Struthio camelus: one gene and its partner. The protein of the gene in region 1 interacts with the protein of each later gene in a pairwise test. Links are inferred from orthologs where the notes say so. Each region holds a gene or a part of one and is shown in the gene's direction. Other genes may lie near its edges.

What was found.
Region 2: the proteins of TADA2A (region 1) and SF3A3 interact in binary tests that used the Homo sapiens proteins (3 or more experiments, as listed by UniProt). The two-hybrid records come from large-scale screens. The link is inferred for Struthio camelus from reciprocal best matches to the Homo sapiens genes TADA2A and SF3A3.

What each region holds. Positions count from the first base shown.
Region 1 is NC_090957.1:20,323,877-20,331,255, forward strand, and holds the start of TADA2A (transcriptional adapter 2-alpha), read left to right. Parts: upstream 1-4,362; 5' UTR 4,363-4,459; intron 4,460-5,968; 5' UTR 5,969-6,218; coding exon 6,219-6,243; intron 6,244-7,065; coding exon 7,066-7,172; intron 7,173-7,379. Other genes in the region: C16H17orf78 (uncharacterized protein C17orf78 homolog), read left to right, coding at 969-1,040. UniProt on the Homo sapiens protein: Component of the ATAC complex, a complex with histone acetyltransferase activity on histones H3 and H4. Required for the function of some acidic activation domains, which activate transcription from a distant site. Binds double-stranded DNA.
Region 2 is NC_090964.1:11,168,517-11,176,307, reverse strand, and holds the start of SF3A3 (splicing factor 3A subunit 3), read left to right. Parts: upstream 1-4,775; 5' UTR 4,776-4,839; coding exon 4,840-4,935; intron 4,936-5,612; coding exon 5,613-5,660; intron 5,661-5,829; coding exon 5,830-5,882; intron 5,883-6,395; coding exon 6,396-6,501; intron 6,502-7,373; coding exon 7,374-7,446; intron 7,447-7,791. UniProt on the Homo sapiens protein: Component of the 17S U2 SnRNP complex of the spliceosome, a large ribonucleoprotein complex that removes introns from transcribed pre-mRNAs.

The sequences.
Region 1 (7,379 bases):
TCGCACCAGCGGTCCTGAGCGGAGGCAGGAGGGAACCAGTGGTACAGGAGGGAAGCAGGGAAGCTGGGACTATCAGCATGGGGAGGACTTATGAGGCTAGTTTGGGTTCATTTGTTCTGTCTTCATGAGGTAACCTGGTTTTAGGTGCATTTAAGCAACAATTACTGTGTTCAAAGATAGACCTATCCCTCCCCCTCAAAAAATTAAGTATCACCATGGTCCTGGAAATGCATTATTAAGGTGCCTTTTCATGAAGAAATGATTTAATCTTGTGCTTCCTACCCCATTAAGTGACCTTCCAAGGCTGTACCCTACTCCCACCTCTCACAGTGAATTGGGATCAAGTTACTTAAGTTCAACATATCCATTTACTTGTCTGTCACCCTGGTCTAGCAATCACCTTGCGAGACTAGAGAGCTTAGCTCTGTCAACACACAAGAAGCCTTCTGAATATTAAACATACAGAACAAACCACTTGAGAACATTTAATTTGCAGAAATGATCGGTAAATAATTTCAAATAGCAAATGAAAATCACCTCATTTGTTAAAACTTCTGAGAAGAAAAAAATAAAATGTGAATACATTATTCATTACAGATTATCCACTTAGATCTTCTTGGAGTGAAACTGCACTGTGAGAAATGTGTTGTAGTGAGAGGTTTGGAAATTGGACTGAGACCCTTAAGAGCCATTTCACACAGGCCATTGAACAGCCATCAGGTGGTAACACCTCTGGGCCTCCTCCAAGCTGAAAGCCATCAGAACAGACTTCAGGCAAAAGGTTTTTTATCTCATTGCCACCTCCAGGAGACATCAGGCTTACTGTAACTTCTGTAGTTCAGTTCAGCCAGGAGATGTCGCACCACTAAATTACTGATATGGGAAACAACAACACACAAGCACTGGTATAACACTCTAGGAATAGGGTTGTTTATTACTCCTGATGAGTATTTTTCTTCCTTTGCCAGAAGGAAGCATCAGGCCAAGAGCCTTACAAGGAAAGATTCAAAATCATTGTCATTCATGAGACCTACCTGTGAAAAGCTGCCGGCCTCAGAGGCACACTCTTTTCATCAGGGGAGGTACATCAGCTTTCTCCTGACCCCCTCCTGGACACAGCAGAGCGAACAACAGCAGTTTACACCACCACGAGTCAAGCCATTGCAGACTGGAACGAGACTTATGTTGGAAGAAATGTTTACCTGGCTAGGAGCAATCAGGTTAATTCACTTAGAAGGCAACTGCTGTGAAGATAGCCATATGTTGATTTCTTCCATCAAGTACCTGGAATCATATTTTAGCTCCTAGAATTAGGAAATACCTGTTGGTGAAAGCAATAAAAATTCCAGTGACATTTCAAATTCTGCCTCCCCAATTTTTTAGTTTTTTCCTCATGATTTTTTCACACGCGTCTAGGGCCTGGGCAAAAGGGAAAGGAAATAATTTCCAACATGTTACTCTCGTCTTAAACAGACTGTTAAACAGTTCAGACAAGAAGTATATAGAATACCAGATCTCCTACTCCAGCATCAACAGGAATAACGCAGATATTACTCTTTGAGATAATACAAATATTAATCTTTGAGCTTTAGCCCTTGTCTAGATCTGAATAGGTGCACATTTTCAGGTGCTGATACAAAATGAACGTCTGATCTATTTGCAATGTATTTATCTCTAATGCCGTCTTCAGCTCTCAGATACAACTGCCAAAGGCTACATCTGTCTGCTCTGGAGAACAGCTCTCATCTGAAGTTCCCAGGCAAAGGATTAAATGCTTCAGAATCTGCATAAACGAGTACGAGCAGCCTTCAAGGCTCCCAGTGAACAATACAGCATTTCCCCCCCAAGTGATCTAGATCCTGCTCATCTGAATCAACGTCATGTGTTCTCTGAGGCGGCACCAGAAAAAATTCACACAAAATTAAAATTGCACAACAGCATAAAAAAAGGGTGCACTGGAACAGTAATGACAGTGGTTCTTTTCAGAAGAGGGGATTAGCACCACATACAGTATCACTGAGTGGAGCACTGCCCATGCGGGGCATTCCAGACAGGTAGAGTTTATTGCAGAACAGGGCCTAAGTACAAACAAGTATTGGAAATTCATGAAATACCAGTAACATTTGCCAGAACCAGGGCATCATAAACATACGCAGAATCTACCTAATATTTGTGCTAAAGAACATTTTAATTATCAGCATTACTATTACAATTACACCAGGCTCAGAAGGAGTACTACGTCCCCTCAAGAACACAGTACAGCATATGAGGCTACTGTAGAGGTCATGAGAGCTATCACGAGATGTGTATTACCACTGTGCCAGATTGGCTATCCAGACTGTCTCATGCAAAAACAAATGGCTCTTTAAACAATGCCACTAGCTAACTCATTCCTGAGCTTTAGGGTTTCACGCAACGCAAGACTTGGCGAGCTAAGCCCTATCCAAAGCCCTCTGTCAGGATGTCCTCAACAAGCCCACAAGTGCACCTAGTTCACAAAGACATTCAAAGTGTACATGGGGGACAGCCACAAAAGACCTCACAGGCACTAGCCTGCAAACAGACAGGGGAAGGACGAAAGATCCCTTTCTGTATAAATGATTTAGACATACACAGACGTTTGTGCAAGTTCATGAGCTGACAGGAGATGGAGACACATTACACATCACCTACAGCTTCTAAGTTACTTGTGAAAAGCAGCAGCTTCAAAAGATCACTGCTGGGGAGCGTCCCAGGCAGGGAAGATGAACAAGATGCTCCATTCTTCTCCTCCTGGTCCCTGGACGCTGACTGCCACCACTGCCTATGCTGCTGCCGCAGGCCACCCTCTCTTCTGTCTACCTGTTATGATCTTTCTTACTCTTCTCTAAAGTTTTTCCCTCGTTCATGCTCACATCTTCCTTCACCGCGCTACCCTCTGTAACTCCTCCCAGTTCTAGCTCATGAGCCACATAATCCAGGCCAAGTCTGACACAAAGGGCAAACAGCTGCCGGGGGAAGACCTGCAGAAGAAGATGGTGGGGTTGCAGCCAGTTGCTAACAATCACCCCATCACTGCTAGGAAAATAATTACTGCTACATGAGAAACTATTAATTCCTTACTATTTTACTGCTACAAGACTTATTTGACATATACTTGCATGAGACACGGGGGCCTTGCAAACCTGGAGGGACAGTATCTTGCTTCAAACTTCTAATGAAGTTAAGTCACTTTTTTTCTCCCTCTTCCAGTCACATGCATGGCAGTCCCGTCCCTCTTCTGCACTTGGAGCGTTCTTGTCACTCTTCTTGGCATGTGGCCTTGATCAGGCAAGGCAATTTTCTTCCAGCATGTGCAAGCTCTGACTCGTGGGGGCCAAGTAATGCCAACCTCCAAGGCCGCCGCTGCCTTGTCTTTTCCCACAGCAGGGAATTCGAATTGCTAGCACATCTCATCTTCTTAGCCCTGCTGCTGGTCACATGAAGAAGCCCTAGCTGGAAGGTACAGATGAAGTAACGCTCGCACTCAAAACCCACAAACTGCTATAAGGCTAGGAGCCCCTTTTAATTTCCAGCCTAAACTTACTCCTGGTTGAACGATATTTGTTACTGTGCCAATACTGTCTTTTAGCTTGTAACAGCGTGGTCCCCTTTGGCAGGGACACACGCTCCCCACAGGCTGTGGGGCTCGCACCCCCCACGGCGCGTGGGTACTCACACATCCCCTCCAAGCTGAGGCGTACACCTACACCTACACCCCCCCCCTCCAAGCTGAGGCGAACACCTACACACACACCCTCCAAGCTGAGGCATACACCTACACACACACCCCCTCAAGCTGAGGCATACACCTACACCCACACACACACCAAGTTGAGGCGCACACCTACACCCCTCCAAACTGAGGTGTACACCTACACCTACACACACACACACACCCCAAGCTGAGGCGAACACCTAAACCTACACACCCCCCATAGGCTACAAACAGGTGCACACCCTATAGGCTGTCTGTACATATATATACACGCCCCCCTAGGCTGTATGTCTGTACATAAACACACAGCACACACAACACACACCCTCGCGAGGCTGTAGGTACCTATGTACACACACACACACACACCCCGAGGCTGTATACAGCTACATACACACACACCAGGCTGTAGGCACCTACCCGGACACCACACACCCTGGGCTGTGCACACACACACACCACACACGCAGAGACCCTGCCGGCTGTACAACACACCCGCAGAGACAGACAGACACACCCTACTGGCTGTACGTACAGGTACACGCACAGCCGGGACACAGACACTCTCACACCACCCAGCAGGCCCCGCCGGCGGCGCGGGAGCGCGCACGCAACCGCCCGCCCGCGCACGCAACCGCCCGCCCGCGCGCGCGCACGCCGGCAGGAACGGGGCCGGGCACGGCGAGCCGCGGCGCGCGGGGCCTGCCCGCCGCCCGGCCTGAGGTGAGAGGCGGCGGGGCGCGGCCCGAGCGCCGCCCCGGCCCGGGAGGGGCGAGGGGCGAGGGGGGGACCGTGCCCAGAGCCGGGAGGGGCCGGGCCGGGCCGGGGGCGGGGAGGGGCGCGCGCGGCGGGGGGAGGGGAGCGCGCTCGCCTCTCCCGTCACGGCCCGCGTTGGGGCGGGGCCGGGGCGGGGCCTGGCCGGAGGGGGCGGGGCCTGGCCGGGCGGGGCGCCCCCTGGCGGCGGCGGCGGCGGCGGCGGCGGCGGCGGGGAGACGCGTCCGCCAGGGCCAGGCCGCGCGTGGGGCAGGGGGTGCAGGACATGGAGCGATGCGACGTGGGCAGTCGAGGCCCCCGGGGCCGCGTCCCCACCTGCGGCGCCCCGCGCACGCCGGGCTGCGAGGGACCGTCCGGAGGGGGCCGCGGCGAGTCCCTCACGGCCGCGGGGTGAGACGTCCGGCCCCGAAGTTGCTCCCGGTCCTCCGAGGAGGCGGGCAGAGGTGCAGGGATCGGAGGGGCTGCGCAGCTGCGGGCCTGTCCCGGGACGCTGGACCGTGCTTCGCCGTGTGGCGCAACGGAGGAAGAAGGTCTAGAAAGATAAACACAAATTTCAGTGTGCGAAAAGTCAGAGCCTTTCCCAGCTAAGGCACCTCGTAAGAGTGAGATGCACCGGAGATCCCGTAGTGGAAAACAACCCAAGTCCTTGGTGATGGGCAGCACTGTAGGACCTCGCTGTACAGATACTGGTGAATAACGGCTGTTCGTAGAGCTGCCACACAACCAACACCGAAAGCGTACTGGATGTCAGTGTGCTAGGTTCCTGCGTCACTGTGTGCCCTGCCACCGACAGCCTGCTCCTTCTCTTCCTGGTGCTTCTTGGAGGTGCAGGGCTCTTTCTTGCATAACAGACGTCCATAACCGCTCACCACATGCGTTTCCGGATGAAAGCTTCCATTTAGGATTTCACCAGCAGTACTTTGTAGTGTTGCTGTTTTGGGATGGGCTTTTTTGCTTTGACTTTTTGGTATCAGTAAATTCCATGAAGCATTTAATGTGTCATTTATGTAATTAAAGTCTCTTGGAGGGAAAACTAGTCCAGGTAAAATTAGGTTCAGGTAAGACGCTGCTGGTTCTCACAAAAATTGTACCTTGCTAGTGGGAAACAAATTGGGATTGCTGTCCAGCTTCCCACTGGGAATTTTGTTCAGGCTTGTCATTTGGGGTTTAGAGCAAAAATCAGGATTAACCAAATCCCGTCTCTGCCACTTGTTCGCTCCCTGACCTTGTGTAAACCTTATTCCTTCTTTCTTCGTTAGTTGTCGCTACTGCACTTCCCTCACAGCAGCAGTTGCGGGGATCGCTACTATACCACATTTGAAGATTTCTGATGCTACAGTCACTTCAGCCACTGTCTTTACTGGGGCATATTCACCTTAAGTTATATCCCCATCTCTTCAGATCTCTTCATACTATGAATCTTACCTGTCTGCGTTTGATTTCTTCTCTCACCTGCAGAAAACACATCAAGTGGTCCCTGTTACAGTGACTGTCCACAGCTCTTTTGCTTTCCTGCTCGGCACATTCTGAGAGGATCTCCTCTATCAGGACTGTGTGAGACTCCTTTCCTTCAAGTGGAAAATACCCTTCAGGTGGAAAGTTGAACATACTGGTTGGGGCGAAGCTTACGCTACAGTCTTTTATAGCAGGACAGGTGTTACTCAGAGGAGCAAGAATATCGGGAGGAAGAGGAGAGGGAGGGAGAGGAATGGAGCGCCTGGCCTCCTTCAGCAGTAAGTACCATAAGCTGAGATTTGGAAAGGGTTTGCCATTTTTTAAAGACATCAGCAGTAAGCTGGGGGAGGGAGACGGAAAAGTAGCAATATTTGGTCCACAGGGTCACTACTTTAATCGAATTCTCAAAAGCACAACTGGTATATGAATTATTTGGTGGGAATTTGGATCTTTTTTGCCTCCTTGTTATATAGTGGGACTAGTTACGGCTTTTACTAATTGACAGCCTGTTTAATTTGACTACTTTGTAATGAACAAAATAAGAAAAACTTGTAGAACAGTGTTTGATTCCTTGTTCAGCAATTTGAACAGTGTCTGAGGATTGGATGGGTTACAGAACAGTAGAATGCATGCCTTTGCAACCACAACAATAAGCTGTTCAGGTCAGACTTGAGGTAGATGGATGGGAAACTACAGCTGTCTGTGCAATCTTCTCCATAAGTAAGGTCCTTGGGACTCATCTTCAGTGCAAGACATGACCATGGGCACTGGATCAAATCAACCAGCTAGCACAGCTCATTGCATCACTGCTGAGAAATACTGATAGGCTGCTCCAGAGAGGGCTTTCCTTTGACTCCATTGCACAAGAGTAGGCTATTTAGCCCTCAAAGTTTTAGGTCTAGCAGAGAGGAAGTGCCAGGATCTCTCTGGAAGCTTCAGCTGAACAAGGAACTTTCAACGGCTATTTGGAGAAGCTCCAGTAGGAAAGAGGTTATATACAGCTGACTTCACTTTAAATTATTAAAATTATTGGATATTTGAATGATAGCAAAAACAGTGTCATGTTTGTGTTGCATGAGATTTACTTGTTGGCTTCACAGATGACCCTTTTGATAAGCCTCCGTGCCGAGGCTGCTCTTCCTACCTCACAGAGCCCTACGTCAAGTGTGCTGAGTGTGGGCCTCCTCCCTTCCTCCTGTGTTTGCAGGTGAGTGCAAGGATAAAAGTGAAGACATTCATTTCTTTAAGAAAGTCATCAAAGGCCTGTCTCATACCAAGCTGTTACATAAACACATTAATAATTGGTCTCTGTAAACTTGTATCAAAGCACATATTTGCTCAAGGACAGGGAAATGACAAAGAAGGTGTTGAAGGCTAAGAATTTAGCTTGAACAGCTGAAGGAGAGAGATCTTT
Region 2 (7,791 bases), on another chromosome or scaffold:
GGATCTGCACGCTGGCAGCATGTATTCACTCCTCTTTTGCACAATGCGGATTTTTCTCTTTTCCCTGTGTGCTCCCTTTGCTCTGTGTGATCAAGACAGCAGCTCCTAGACCGTGCAGCTTGGCCTTGTCAGCCTGTGTAGTGGATGGCTTTGCAGCATGGCCTTTTCTGCACGCGCGGTTTAGCCTGTGGCATTGCATGACCTGGGCCCAAAAGGTTCTCCCTGCCCCATTTGGGAAGTCTGGGGACACCAGGCTGGAGCACGGTCAGAAGAATATCATGCATCATGCCAGATGGGAACCACTCCCCATTTCTCTAGCCACCTCACCCTTTGTGGGCCCAGGCCCTTTGCTCTGCGTGTCTCCACGGAATTGCTCTCACTCAGATGTGGAAAAGGACCTCAAACCGCCAGTGAGTATGGAGCACTCTAGCCCTGCCACCTTTCTGGCCCATTCCCATCCTCCTGCCTGTGCTGCAACCTCCCCACGGCTGCCTCTGTTCTGTTCAGCCCTGAAGCTGCCTTGTAGCTGTTTGCACATGTGGCCGTGTTTGCAGCTACCCGAGCTAGAGCTGGTGATGCTGCCTGAGATACTTCTAGCGAAACAGCGGAGCAGGGTGTTTTGGAGGCTGTTAGAGCACTGAGGGTTTTTATTCCTGCTCGTTCCCTCTCATGGGGAACTGCAGAATAGGGACTGCCTTACCGAGGCCAGCCGGCAGTGACACAAAGATCACCAAAGACATTTCATTAGTTCTGGAGTTGTCTGCAGGCTGCTGCTGTGCTTGGTGGCCGCTGGGGCGGATGGAGGGAGGAAGGCAGGAGCTCCGTGGCGCAGCGAGCCCCCGAAGGTCGGCCGGGGCGTCCCCCCGCCCTGCTCCTGCTGGGGCTGAGCGTTCCTGCCCGGCACAGGGAGAGGCTCCCTGGCCACGCTCCTCCCGAATGAGAGGCAAAGCAAGGGTGGCAGCTGGGCTCCCCTGGGGAGAAGCTTTGCAGCTCCCAAGTCCCTGCTGTGGCCCTAACTGCAAAATAGCACACAGGCTGCTGAACCCTCCCGGTCCCACACAAGGGCTTGTGCTGTCCTTGCCCCACAGCTGAGCCGGCCCCGGGCCCCCACGGCCCCTTTGGGTGCTCATGCCTGCCTTGCCTCTGTCCCCCTTGCTCTAGCGTGCTTGGGGCGCTTGTGCCAACCCTGCTTTCCTGTTTAGACAGCCGCAGGCTTTTCTGAATGCATCTCTTGTGGGTTTTTTTCTCCTTTTGTACTCTCTTGTCGTGAATATCTGTCATTTTGTAACCAAAGCGCAGGATGAAGGGGCTAGCCCCCGTCACAGGATTCACTTACGAACGGAGAACGTTATGCATGTTAGAGTTATTAATTCTGTATTCAGATCCTCATTGAACCCTCGTTTGAAAGCTTTGATGCAGGCAAATCAGAGTTTGTGTGTTCACTATTCTAAGGAGCTTGGAGCAGTCTCTAGAAGGAAGTGTCCTAGACCTCACCTCCTGTATGTTTCCTAAGGCTTTATATAATAAACTGTTTTAGTGACACTTGCTTTCACGTGTTTCTTGAGCAGCAGGCGCAGGGCGGCGGGCTGCCCGAAGGGGTCTGCGCTCAGCCTTGTCCTCCAAAAGCAGAGGTGGTCTGTGGCTCCCTGCAGGTATCTCCCCTAGCTCCACCGTGGGGACAGGCCGGGGTCCTGGCAAGTCCCTTCCCCATCCTCACGCCCCGGCTGCGCCACGCTGCATCGCAGCCCAGGAGCGGCAGCTCCCGCCGCATCCGCAGCGATGGCCCGGGGCAGCCGGCCTGGGTCACCGCGCCGCTCAGCCACGTCCGGCGGCAGAAGCGTGCCCCCCGTGCCCCCGGCCCGCGTGCCACCTCTCGGGAGGAGGCTCGGGCGGATGCTGCCGTCGTCCGCAGCCGGGGTGGCAGCGGGCTCCCTTCGCTGCAGCGCTGCGTGCTCGTTGCTCGGGATGTCAGCTGGGGACCCGTTTATTCCCCTAGCATCTGAAACTATTTTCCGCAGATTCCTTTACGTTTACTAACAGCAGCCACGACTTCCTCTGGGCCGGCCTGCTCGGCCCCAGCCCCGGCCCCCCTCGGCGCGGAGGCGTCGCTCCCGCAGGAGCCGCTGCCGCCGGCTCCGCGCAGGCCGCCGCGAGCTCGTGCCAGACCGCGGCGCTGCCTCTGGGCGTGCAGGCTCCTGGCTCCTTCAAAGGCTCCCGCAAACGTTGGCGCCGGCAGCTAAAGGGTTTTTCCCAGTACGATTCTGCTGCCGTTGCTGCCCTCGACCTGCGCTGGGCTCTGCTTTTGCTGCCGCTGGGCCCCAAGCGATGAGCAGGCAGCTCTGGCCCGGGAGGTTTCCAGCGGCGTCTGTCCTCCAGCAGCAGCACCACAAACCCTTGTTTCTGCAGCGCTGTTTCCAGGGATTAACCACAAAAGGTTTCTGTACAAAGGGCCCCCAGGCTCCTCTTTCAGTCAGCCTCAAGAGCCTCACGTTTTTAGCCAAAAAAGGAAATGACCCAGCTGCACGTAGCGCTGGAACATCTGGATTTTATCCCTGTCATGAATGGGTCATGGATATGCACGGCCCGGTGCCTGGCTTGCAGGAAGGGGAGGCTGATGTCATGCACAAACGTCCCCTGAGACTCCCGGAGCGCGGGTCGGAGCAGTCATGAAAATATCGTTAAGGGCAGGCTAACGGTGGGGCGGGGGCGGCGGGGGCTGCTGCCCCCTCCCCGGCGCTTCCCACCGGGGCGCCGCTGCCGGGAGGGAGCGGGTTTGTGCCGGTTCGGCAGGCCGCTCTGCCCGGACAGGGAAAGCCGCGTCCCGGAGCAGGACGTCGCCCCGGCCCGTCCCAGGCCAGACGCTCGTGCAGCGGCTGCTCCCCCGGCCGCGACCCTCCTGGCGCCGCCAGCCCCGGTGCACGGGGCACCGCCAGATTGCACCCCCTTACTGCTCCTGGGGTGAAGTTTCATGCAACGGGAAGTGGAGGAACGTTAAGTTCAGGATCTTATCTCTGCTTTTATTTTTAGACAGGCATTCACGAGGAAAAAATGACGTACTGAGAGGCAGCCTCTAGTGCGGGACCATAATTAAAGACAATATTCTTACTTTTAGTATCATCCTCTCCTTGGTGAATTGGCTGTTCCCAGGGCAGAATCATCTTTGTCTGCCGTAATTATGCCCAATTTTCTTTTTTTGTTGCTTTCGGCTTAAAGTAATGTAGTCTGCATGGTAAAAAAAGATGAATAATTTATTTGTGAGTTAAAATTTAATTACAGCTTTGTATTTGGCAAAGTGGGGGCAAAGCACTGGCACGAGCTCTCCTCGGCACTACGGTTGGATGTGAAGAAGGCGATTGAAACCGAAGGAGAGTGGAAGGACGCAGGCACGGCTCCCGCGGGAGGGTCCCCCCGGCAGGTCGCTCGGGCGCAGGCTGCTGGGCCGCCGGTTCTGGTGCGCGGCCCACGTGGTCTTTGCGTTCAGCAGCAACGGCCAGCCGAGGTCCGCGTTCGCCAGGTGCCGGGCTGCAGCTGGGACGCCGGGGCAGTGCGGGCTGCACGCTGCACCGCAGCTCTTCTTCCTTCCAGGCCCCAGGCCGGGCCGGCGGTCCGCCAGGGCGTCGCGGGGCCGGGGCCGGGCCGGGCCCCGCGCGGGCGCTGCGGCTCTTCCCGGGCTGCCAGGGTCCAGGCCACGGGGGCTGCGCTGCTGGGCCGGCGCTGACGGCCGCGCGCTGGCCGAGCCGGCGTCCCCGCACCTCGCCGGCGTCCCCGCACCTCGCCGGCGTCCCCGCACCTCGCCGGCCCAGCCCTCGTCTCAAGCCCAATGTTACGAGACGAGACGCGGCTGCTTCCCCGCGCGACTCCTCCCGTCCCCGTCCCCGTCCCCGTCCCCGTCCCCCCCTCGCCTCGCTTCCAAGGAAGGTGGCCGCAGTGCGGAGGCCGGGCCAGCCCCGACCCGAGGCCGACGGCAGTGCGGGGCAGCGCGCGGCACCGGAGGGTCGGTGCTGCCCAGCTCCCCCCGGCCGCAGCCAGCGCTGCCCTGGCGCCGGCGAACTGCGGGGTGCAACGGAGCGGGGAGCCCAGGCGGGAGGCGAGGGCCTGGCGGGGCCTGCACGCCTCCCCCTCCGGCTGGGCCCGGCCGGCTCAGCCCCCCGCCTCGGCCGCCAGCGGGGCCGCGGATGTCGGGGGCGGCAGGGATGTGGGGGGCGGCAGGGACGTGGGGGGCGGCGGGGCTGTGCGAGGCCTCGGGGCTGTGGGGGGCGGCGGGGCTGTGCGAGGCCTCAGGGCTGTGGGGGGCGGCGGGGATGTGGGGGGCGGCAGGGACGTGGGGGGCGGCGGGGATGTGCGAGGCCTCGGGGCTGTGGGGGGCGGTGGGGATGTGGGGGACGGCAGGGACGTGGGGGGCGGCGGGGACGTGGGGGGCGGCGGGGCTGTGGGGGGCGGCGGGGACGTGGGGGGCGGCGGGGATGTGCGAGGCCTCGGGGATGTGGGGGGCGGCGGGGCTGTGCGAGGCCTCGGGGCTGTGGGGGGCGGCGGCGGCGGCGGCGGCAGGACTCGGTCGCCCCCGGGCGGGGCCGGTCGCGGCTCTGCGCGGCGGCGGGAGCTGAGAGGCGGCTCGGCCGCGGGCCTCGGCGGCGGCGCTGCGGCGGGCGCCTTCTGCCGGCCCGGCCCGGCCCTGCCGCCGCCCTGAGCCCGCCCGGCCCCGGCCGCGCCCGCCGCCGCCCCGGAACCTTCGCGCCGGCGGAACCTTGGTGGCGGGCGCGGGCCGGGCCGGAGCGCCCCCGCCGGGCGCGGGCCGGGCCGGAAGGGGGCAGCGGCGGCTTCCGGTCGGTGCGCGGGAGGATGGAGACGATCCTGGAGCAGCAGCGGCGCTACCACGAGGAGCGCGAGCGGCTCATGGACGTCATGGTGAAGGAGATGCTCACCAAGAAGTCCACGGTGCGCCCGCGGGGCCGCGCCCGCCGCCGGATCGGGGCCGGGGGCCTGGGGCCGGGCCGGGCCAGGGAGCGGAGGCCGGGGCCGGGGCCGGCGGGCAGAGGCCGGGGGGCCGGGGGGCAGAGGCCGGGGGGCCGGCGGGCAGAGGCCGGGGCCGGGGGGCAGAGGCCGGGGGGCCGGCGGGCAGAGGCCGGGGGGCCGGGGGGCAGAGGCCGGGGGGCCGGCGGGCAGAGGCCGGGGGGCCGGGGGGCAGAGGCCGGGGGGCCGGCGGGCAGAGGCCGGGGGGCCGGCGGGCAGAGGCCGGGGCCGGGGGGCAGAGGCCGGGGGGCCGGGGGGCAGAGGCCGGGGGGCCGGCGGGCAGAGGCCGGGGGGCCGGCGGGCAGAGGCCGGGGGGCCGGCGGGCAGAGGCCGGGGGGCCGGGGGGCAGAGGCCGGGGGGCCGGCGGGCAGAGGCCGGGGGGCCGGCGGGCAGAGGCCGGGGCTGGGGGGCAGAGGCCGGGGGGCCGGCGGGCAGAGGCCGGGGCCGGGGCTGGGGCTGGGGCCGGGGCCGGGGCTGGGGCTGGGGCTGGGGGGAGAGGCCGGGGCCGTGGCTGGGGCCGGGGTCGAGGGGCAGGGGGGCAGAGGCCAGGGCCGGGGCCAGGCCAGGCCTGGTCCGCACTAACCGTGCTCCTCTGCGCGCAGCTCCGTGACCAGATCAACTCCGACCACCGGACGCGGGCCATGCAGGACGTGAGTGCCAGAACCGGGGCGGGGCTGGGCTGCTGCTGGCGCTCTGAGCCCCCTGGAGCGACGTGGGAATGGGCCGCTGCCTGTCATTGCCAGAGCAGCCAGGAAACAGTGGGTCTGGGTGGCTATTAACGTTCCCCTGTGGCATTTTGGGCTTTGTTGTGTTTTTCAGAGGTATATGGAAGTGAGCGGCAACCTGAGGGACCTGTATGATGACAAGGACGGGTAAGGGCTTGTACAGACACTTCTTCTGGTACTGCATCTGCCTCAATGTCTGCTGGATGCGTTTTACCTAGGAACCTGGAGGGGCTTTTAAGTGTATTTTAAATATTCAGGAAATAATGCTGGTATTTGAGAACATTGATCAGGTTTTGGAGACTAAACCTGGCAGTGCCTAGAGCAGCGCCCAGATTTCATGCCGAATATCTTCATGTGGAACAATATACATGTTTTGTCACTTTCCTGGTTTAAGTCACTGGGGGAGGCCCTTGAGCCACTTTGAACCTTGCTAAGTGGAGACTACTGCATTTTCAATAGGAGACATGACCTGCAGTCTTAAAGTATAAGCCTGTGAAATGCATGTATAACTGTCTGAGGCCACCAAACATCTCCTGCTATGCAGTCAGTCTTACTGGAACATTGTGTAACTGAAATGCAGTACTAAACACGAAGAAAGACTATATTGGCACAAACACGTTACAGACTTCCCTGTTGTAATCTTTTTTTATGAACTTATAGCTTACGAAAAGAAGAACTCAGTGCCATCTCAGGACCAAATGAATTTGCAGAATTCTACAACAGACTAAAACAGATTAAAGAATTTCATCGGAAGCACCCAAATGAGGTAAATAATCATCTACTTCATAAGAACAGGTGACTTGTGGTCTGCTGGGCTTCATCCCTACAATAAGCAGAATTTGTTTTGTTCAATTTAGTTACCTTAATACATAATTTACAACAAAGTAAGGTTTAGTGACAAGTACTAAAATGTCACTTGGGAAAAGAAAACATCTAAAGGTAGATGGTGCTTCAGAGGCTGTATGTAAGCTATGAGCGCTGCGACAATAGGAAAAAATGCAAGATGCTAACCGTGTTCTCTGGGTGCTGTGTATTAGTTTAGGAACACTCTGCTGCTGAGCTGGCATTCAGTCTCGTCTTTCTCATGCTGCCTAACGTCAGATTAAAGGGTAGTGTCTTTTCTTCTTTGCAAAAGTAATGGTGAGGAAATGCTGGCCTGCGCTGATGAGTTCAGGACCTCTCTTCTGCACTCAGAATTAGTTTGGATAAATGTGGGAAAGGCAAAGGAATTTCTCTGCCGTCACATTGTAAAGTTGTTTGCTGTTCTGTCCCTCCAGTCTCTGCACTGAACTGCAGACACCTCAGATGTTGGCTTTTCTGCCCTCAGTAGCAAGGAGAGTCACCCTCTGCTATTTAAAATCTCAGATATACTGCACGTATATGTGCAGGCAGGGTTGCTGAGTGGTATGAGTAAACATTATCCAAGGGGAACCAAGTACCCAGAATCAGTAGGGAGCTGGAGTTTTTGGTTTTGTTTTCCTCTATTGTATGGGGAACTAGGATTTGGAACAAGATTTTCATAGACTGTGCGCTGGATGCCTTTTCAGTTATGAGGTTTGCTACTGTGATTTCATATTGACCGTCCTGGGACATTAGCTGAAGTAATCTTTTATCTGAAACTTCTGTCTGTTTTTGAAGATCTGTGTTCCAATGTCAGTGGAGTTTGAGGAGCTGCTGAAGGCCAGAGACAACCCAAGTGAAGAGGCGCAAAGTAAGTCTGTAGTTTTATTCTGAGGCTAATTTAAGTAAAAAAGTTATGCTTACTTGAGAGGAGTTATTTAATGAACTATAGGGTCTGTCTTGCATGTTTTAGAATTCTACTTTCCTTTTACTAAATTACTTCAGAGAATTGTTCTTATTTCATTTAATTCCTTCTGAACTGGAGCCACCCTGGAAGGTTCCACAGTAGCGCTGCTTCTCTTGGGGAATGTTCTAGTATATTTACGTAGAGAAGCAGCCAGGTATCTCATCACTGAGGATGCCTCTTGCATCATAGACATCTTGTTTAAGCATAAATTAATCCACAGTTAATCCTTTTCAAATTCTAGCATGTATG